2 linked regions of the Cricetulus griseus genome follow. The protein of the gene in region 1 purifies or fractionates together with the protein of each later gene. This does not show direct contact. Links are inferred from orthologs where the notes say so. Each region holds a gene or a part of one and is shown on either strand. Other genes may lie near its edges.

The links.
Region 2: the proteins of Ogdh (region 1) and Dlst fractionate together in Homo sapiens (co-fractionation; 3 studies listed by BioGRID). This does not show direct contact. The link is inferred for Cricetulus griseus from reciprocal best matches to the Homo sapiens genes OGDH and DLST.

Annotation. Positions count from the first base shown.
Region 1 is NW_023276807.1:98,578,402-98,582,666, reverse strand, and holds the start of Ogdh (2-oxoglutarate dehydrogenase, mitochondrial), read left to right. Parts: upstream 1-1,256; 5' UTR 1,257-1,379; intron 1,380-2,053; exon of another isoform or gene 2,054-2,194; intron 2,195-2,322; exon of another isoform or gene 2,323-2,512; intron 2,513-4,265. UniProt on the Homo sapiens protein: 2-oxoglutarate dehydrogenase (E1o) component of the 2-oxoglutarate dehydrogenase complex (OGDHC). Participates in the first step, rate limiting for the overall conversion of 2-oxoglutarate to succinyl-CoA and CO(2) catalyzed by the whole OGDHC.
Region 2 is NC_048598.1:118,638,298-118,641,541, reverse strand, and holds the end of Dlst (dihydrolipoyllysine-residue succinyltransferase component of 2-oxoglutarate dehydrogenase complex, mitochondrial), read left to right. Parts: intron 1-1,171; coding exon 1,172-1,306; 3' UTR 1,307-2,630; downstream 2,631-3,244. UniProt on the Homo sapiens protein: Dihydrolipoamide succinyltransferase (E2) component of the 2-oxoglutarate dehydrogenase complex. The 2-oxoglutarate dehydrogenase complex catalyzes the overall conversion of 2-oxoglutarate to succinyl-CoA and CO(2).

The sequences.
Region 1 (4,265 bases):
ACTAGGAGCTGTAACATGAATTCTAATTGTTCTTAATAAAAACTCAGAGTCAGAAATTGGGGCTGGGGGAAGATCAGAGAAGCAAAGCAGCCAGCCACTAGCTCTTTCTTTTCTTTTAAATTTACTTTATGTGTATTTGTGTGAAGGTGTCAGATCTCCTGGAATTACAGTTGTGAGCTCCTGTGTAGGTGCTGAGAATTGAACCTGGGTCCTCTGGAAGAGCAGCTACTGCTCTTAACAGCTGAGTCATCATCTCTCCAGCCCCCACCAGCCACTAGTTCTTACCTCTACCTCAGACCAAATAGGCGATCCTGACTCCACAAATCCTCAGATTGAAATACTAACTGCCTTAGACTGACCGCTTAGACTGCTAGACTGCCCCAGCTCCTGTCTCCTCCAGCCTTATACTCCTCTCTCCGCCTAGCCATATCCCTTTCTGTCTCCACCTCCTTAGTGCTAGGAGTGCTTTAATCCTATAAAGGTGTGCCACTCCAAGTGCTTCGATCACCTTTGTGTGAGCTCTGTTTCTCTTTTAGACTGGATCAATTTCGTGTAGCTCAGGGTGGCCTTGAACTAACAGAAATCAGTCTTCCTGTCTCACCAATGCTCAGATTAAAGGTGTGCACCACTGCTGCCTGGCCTCTATGGCTAACTAGTGTGACTAGCTTTGCAGTCTGATCTTCAGAAAAGCTTTGTTAGATCATAAACAAAATATTACCACAGGGAGCATTTCTTGGCCAGTGGAGTGTGACAGGTTAATTAGTGGCATTCTGCCTGTTTATAGCAGGCTCTGGAGCCAGGCCATCCAGGGGCATCCCAGCAGAGCTTCCTGTCAGAATGCAGGTAGAAACACCCAAGTGTAACTTGTTATACAATAGGACTAACTACTCTTCACAAAGACTGCTGCAAAACAAGTGTTCAAAAATGTAGATCTTGTTAGTCAAATTATTTTGTGCAGTGGTAAATTTCACCAACCCAACTATTATTTAGTGCAGCTTGTTTCAGATACAAAGCCGGCGGGTCTTTAAGTCGCCACGCTCATGCTTCCGCTCGCCAAACGCCGCAATTACAGGAGTGCACCACACGCCATGAATTTACTGGAGTCTTAGCCAGGCTTTGGAAGCTTCTCATGTTTAACTACTAATGACAGTGGAAGCGCGGTGAGCAACAGGCCGACTTCGGCCAGTGGCCAAGTTCCGCATTGGCGCGAAGCCGGAGTGACTGAAACGTGACGTCATGACACGCCTACAGGCCTTCGTGCAGGCCGCTCCTCTGGGGCCGGGCTACGCGCTGACGCCACACGCCGGGGCGGGGCCGAGAGTTTGGAGCCCGGAGTGGGGTGTCGGCGCCTCACTCGGGTGGAGCAGAACGGGAGACAGGTAACCTTGCGCGGCGGACGGGCTCAGTCCAGTGCTGGGAGGTTCGGCGCTTGACACCCGAGGCTTGCGGCCGAGGGTGAGGCCTACACGCCCTTGCAGCCGGGGCACCTGAGTGACGGGTGTGGAGCCGGACCTAGCCGGGCTGACGGAGGGCGGCGATGGTGGGCGGAGGACGAGGCCTGATGGACAGGCGTCGTAGCCAATGGGGTGGCAGGGTCCGCCTGGCAGGCGGGGATTGGCGAACACGGACGGGCGCCGGGGGTCGCCGGGGCGAGCGCTATTGGCTCTGGCGGCGGAGCTTCGGAGGCGGCGGGCTAGGGTGTCGGTGGCTCGGCGGCCCGGGAGAACCCCAAGGTCGCGGCGCGTCACGTGGTCCGGTCGCTTCCTCCGGCCCGCGCGCGTTCTTTTGTCCTGCGTGCTCTGACCCCAGCAGGCCGCCGTCCTTGTGGTCGCCGCGCCCGGTCACGGCGCTGACCTTGGTGCCTGCGGCAGCCCCACCTGCCGGTATGAGGTAGAACAGGCAACGGGCCAAGGTGACACTGGTTTCCCTAGAAACACCATCCACGCACCGCTTTCCTCGCGAGAGTGTGTGACAGATGTGACTTAATCCGCTGAGTGACTGGGAAGCCCGCTACGTGCTCTCTCGCCTGAGTTAGCAGATCATGTTCCTTTTACCCACCGAGCAGTGTGCCTGTCGCTGAAATGACAAGTTCGGAAAGAGTACTCACGTGGCAGACGCCAGTGTTAAGACAGGAGCCCCGCGGGTAGGGCACAGGAATATCTACAGGGTGAGGTGTGGAGAAGGGGAGTTAAAGGTAATGAGAAGGGAAGGGCTAGGTGTTGTGCGCATGCGTAACCCAACTTCCTGATTCGCTCTGCAGGATCAGAAAATGGCGCCGTTGTCATTGGAGGGTGGAGTTTTAGACCCTTGACGTCAAAAGGTCACTCAAGGAGCACCTCTGCAGGCCCAAGTCAGTGGTGTCACCAGTTTCAATTGAGGCCTCGTGGTACATGAGAACAATTTAGATAGGATGATCCTAAGTCGGAGGTGTTATCTATATATAGCGAAGCCAGTTGGAATGTGCAATTCAGCTTCTTCACCTCTAAGCAGAATCAAGTAACTAAAAACAAAAGTAAGCTTTTTTTTTTTTTCAGATTTTCTGTGGATTTCATTACTCTTACAGGCCCGAATCGTGTCTGTGCATCCCATGCTATGGCACTGAGCAGAGGACACTGTTGGCGTTTGCTAGTTTGCCTGGTCTTGTAGTCCTGCCCTTGAGGTGGCATTAGAATGAGTGACACTGTAATTGACTTTTCTCTTTTTCTAGTCTTTGTCACTTTGCATCCCATATTATGCAGTTTTCTTTTTTATTTAAAAAGTTAACATTTATTTATTCGTATGTAGGGGAACAACATGCTCCTGTGACAGCGCTTGAGTAGGTGTCATATGACAACTTGTGAGACTTGGTTTTCTCCTTTCACCATGTGTGTCCTGGGGATTGAATTTAGGTGGCCAGGTTTGGTGGCACTGTTCAATCTTGGAGGCCCCCCCCCATACGTACACATTTAGGTTTGCTTATCTTTTTGATAGATTGACCTTTTCATTATTTTTCTGTCCCTCTCAGTCTCTGGTAATTGCCTTTTCTTTGCTGTCTGCTTTATTAAATAATAATAGGGCCATTCTTAGAAATATGTGGATTTTTCAAGACAGAGTTTCTCTGTAGCCCTGGCTGTCCGGGAACTCTATCTGTAGACCAGGCTGTCCTTAAACTCACAGAGATCCGCCTGCCTCAGCCTCCCAAGTATTGGGATTAAAGGCGTGGGTCATCTCTACCTGGCATGAAATAATGTGTTTTCAACTTTAGGTTCTGTGTTACTATCTTTGAAGTGATATTGTCGACAAGTATATACTTGATTTTGTTTTATCCACTGCCTGTTGGTCTTCTGATATGTTAGGATTTATAGTGGTATGCTAAAATTTAAGGCTTTCATTTAGCTATTCTAGTTTCATTTCTCTGCTTTCTTTGTACTGACTCTTCTGGGTTACTTTCAGTATACATACAACCAAGGCTCACCTTGAACTCATGATTATCCTCTTGCCTCAGCCTTCTAAATGGTGTTTTCTCTGGTGTTTGACTGCAGTAGGAAAATTGTTTAAATTTTTCATCTTGCTGCTCCTGTCACTATCCTTTGGCTTAAGAGCATAGGCTTTGTGCCTTCTCTTGTCTACATCTGTTGGCATTTCTTTCTTTTTTTTACTTTCCTTTTTTGTTTGTTTGTTTGTTTTGAGACAGGGTTTCTCTGTGTAATAGCTCTGGCTGTCCTGGAACTGGCTCTTATAGACCAGCCTGGCCTCACACTCAGAGAGATCTGCCTGCCTCTGCTTCCCAAGCCCTGGGATTAAAGGCGTGTGCCACCACTGCCCAGCTACTTGTTGGCATTTCTTAGATCTTCTCTATTACTTATTCTGGAACATGTGCCACAAGGGTGGTACTCTTTCAGTGCTCTATCTGAGTCTCTTCAGGTGCCAAGATTCAAGGTTCAAGTTAGTTTGCTTTTTCTGTCAACCTTTTTGAGACTTTTGTTTTATATTTAACATTTATGTTTGTGGCTGAGTTTAGCAGGAAACAAATTCTTTATGTGCTTTAATAAAATGTTGACAGATTATCATGCTTTCTATAAAGATTTCATAATTTTCACTCTTTAAGAACATATTATTTTCAGCTGGGCAGTTGTGGTGCATGCCTTTGATCCCAGCACTCGGGAGGCAGAGGCAGGCGGATAGATCTCTATGAGTTCAAGACCAGCCTGGTCTACAAGAGCTAGTTCCAGGACAGCCTCCAAAGCCCAGAGAAACCCTGTCTCAAAAAAACAAAAACAAGAATA
Region 2 (3,244 bases), on another chromosome or scaffold:
AATGTTTCTGGGTCACCCACTCCTTTGTACTTCCAAAACCACAGGTCTTCTTTCTGGGGGGAAAAAAAAAAGAAAAGAAATCTTGGGTTTGGTGGACCCATTTAACCCTTGCCTTCACAGCTGCACACCTGGCTTTACACAAAACATGTATTTTTTTTATTTATGGATTTTCAAACAGGTTTTCTCTGTGTAGCCCTTTCTGTTCTGGAATTCTCCATGTATACCAGGCTGGCCTTTACTTGAGAGATCTGCTTGCCTCTATCTCCTGAGTGCTGGGGTTAAAAGTGTACGCCAGCCACCACACCTGGCAGATAGCTTTGAACTCAAAAGATTAATGCCCCCCCACTCCCTCCGACTAGAAATATAAACCAGTGGTAGTGTTTGTCCAGCGTGTTCAGAGCCCTGAGTTTGATAATGATAGTACATGCTATAGTTACAGCATTCGGAAGCAGAGGCCAGAGGGTCAAGAGTGTAGTATCATCCTTGGTTGTACAGTGAGTTTGAGAACAGCCTGTGCTACATGAGACCAGTTGGAAAAACAACATACTTTTTTTTCCTCTTTAAATTGTAATTTCAAGGCTTGGGTGTTGCTCAATAGTAGAGTGCTTGCCTAGCATACCCAAGGCCTGGTGTTAGATGGATCCACAAAATTGAAAAAAATAATAGTGATAACGATTGTAACTTCATCCTGGTTGTGGGGGCGCACACCTTTAATCCCAGTACTCAGGAGGCAGAGGCAGGTGGATCTCTGGGTTCGAGGCCAGCCTGGTCTACAGATCAAGTTCTAGGACAGCTGGGGTGATTCACAGAGAAACCCTGTCTCAAAACAAACACACAAAAAGATTGTAACTTTAGAGTAGCTCCTATAGGCAGCCACAGCAAGAAAAAAACCTTTCAGTAGGTATCAATTTAACGGGTGGAGTGTGGTTATTTGTCTTAAAGCAGTTTGAGGAGCCTGTTTCCTTAGGTAAACCTTGCTTCTGAGTCCCAGAGCTTTGCTCAAAACATAAGCTTGGTCTTCAAAATAAACCCAAGTTACCCAGAGGCAGCACTGGTAGGAGAGACTTGGAACTAGAAACTCTGGTATGGGCTTTGCTTTCTCACCTCTTCCTCTTGACAGGGCTTTCTCTGATCTGTTGGATACAAACCTGTTGCCCTCTCCACTCTACAGGTGGAAGTTCGACCTATGATGTATGTAGCCCTGACCTATGACCACCGGCTGATTGATGGCAGAGAGGCTGTGACTTTCCTCCGAAAAATCAAGGCAGCGGTAGAAGATCCAAGAGTCCTCCTCCTAGACCTTTAGGAGGAAGCCACACACTCTACCTATTGATCATGCAGGAACTGAAAACCAGTCTTCTCCCTGTCCCCTCACCAGTCCCAGGTTAGCCTGATAACAGGCAGGCACATACTGTTGGCCTCAAGCAAGGAAGCCAGAGCACTATGTAACCAGCCTTCCCAGGTCTTAGTGTTCTTTCTAGGCTCTTTCTCTCTCTGTGTGTCACTCTCTTGCCTTCTGATACCTTGGGCCTGAGAGAGAGAGTGAGAGCCTTAATGGATGCTCATTAATATTCCTGTCTTTCTTCCAGCCCTCTGCAAAGACAATTTTCTTCTCCCCAGTAACAGTATACTACCGGGGTACCACCAGGGACCATGTGATTGAATTTCTATCTTTGGAAAGTGTTCTCCAGAGATGCCCAGGGGGTGCTTTGCCTCCCAGGCTCAAAGCTTCTGTCCCAGCTGTGCACATTCTCAGGTGATGCCACCTGTGTGGAGGTATTGGATGCAGGCGAAGAGGCCCTGCATTGCTTCTTAAATGCACCACCATTCTGAGCTGTCCGTGGCTTCATGGTGCCTCTCTACCTCTTCCAGGAAGCACTGGCCGGGGACTTGGGGACAGGCAAGATGGTTACTATTCCAGTCACAGATGGGAGTAGAACCCTGACTTGCCCTCACAGGCTCCATTGTAAGCTCACTGGGAAGATTCATTTTGGCATAATCACATATAACTGTGGTCATACCAACCCTTCCCAGGGTTCTAGGGCTTGTTTTCACTTAGAGCAGACTTTAGCTCATCATGGCAGTGGGTCAGAGCCTGTTAAAGGGACTGACTCTGACCAGATCAGGTTAGCAAGAGCTCTTAAGTCCGAGATGGCCTCAGCATGTGATGGGGAGGGGCTGTTCTCTCCCTTCCTGGGTGTGGCCTGTGGGGAGCGGGGGTCTTGGTGCCTCTGGCAGGACACAGATACAGGGGAGGATAACCTATGGTGGGAACCAGCCTCAGGAGTTAGTACATAGTGGTGAAATGGATGATGTCATCTCTATGGGGACAGGCACAATCATTGGAATTTCTTGAAGCATGGTAAAAGGCAAGTAACAAGGTATGAAAGCTCTTAGGCCTTATATCCAGCTGCACTGAGGCCTGAGACTGCTGACAATTGACAAAGGGCCATTAGTGCTAAATACCCTTTTTTCTTGTAATCCAGGACAAGCTTGGGGGAGGGGGAGAGGCCAGTATTGAGTGCCTGCGGCATCTGCTACTACATCTTCACCATTCGGAACTTGTAACTAAAATATTTAAAGAGACCGATTTTGAATGAAAATTAAAGGGCAAATGTTCTCAAACAGGGTCCCAGCATCTGTGCTCCTTTTGACCCTTGAGGTTGTATAGCCTAGTTGGCAACCACAGTGGTCTTTATCTTTGAAAGCTACTTCATCTTGAGTTGCTATCCTGTGTAGTCCTGAAGCCCCTCTCCCAGTCTTTAAACATGTTAGTGCTGTGCCAATTTAACTAGTAGCCAGGGGAACCCACTAATCTTAGTGCCCTGGGTTCCTTTCAGGGAGCCCTGTGGTTCTGACAAGTCAACTCTTGAAGAGAAATTGTAGCTCCCACCTGTGTGAAGTCCTTTCAAAACACCAAGGGACCGTTGCTTTTTTTGAGGGGCTTGCATTATTTCTGAGAGAGTGGAGAGACATGAATACTTCTAATTTCATTTGGACCTAGTTGCCACATGTGTACCAAGATACTTGTAGTTAGAATGAACAGTAAGAAGTCACCTCTGCAGTAGTGTGTGGGAGGCAGTATGGACAGGACAGGGTTGATCACTGACCTAGAATGGCTATGACGGATAATAGGCATGATGGTGTCTAGGCTTCAATACATCCTTACTTTTCCACACAGAATCCCACCTGTTGATCCCGCTTGCAGCGAGGCCCTCCCTCTGTGGAGGCCTGCCACAGGAAG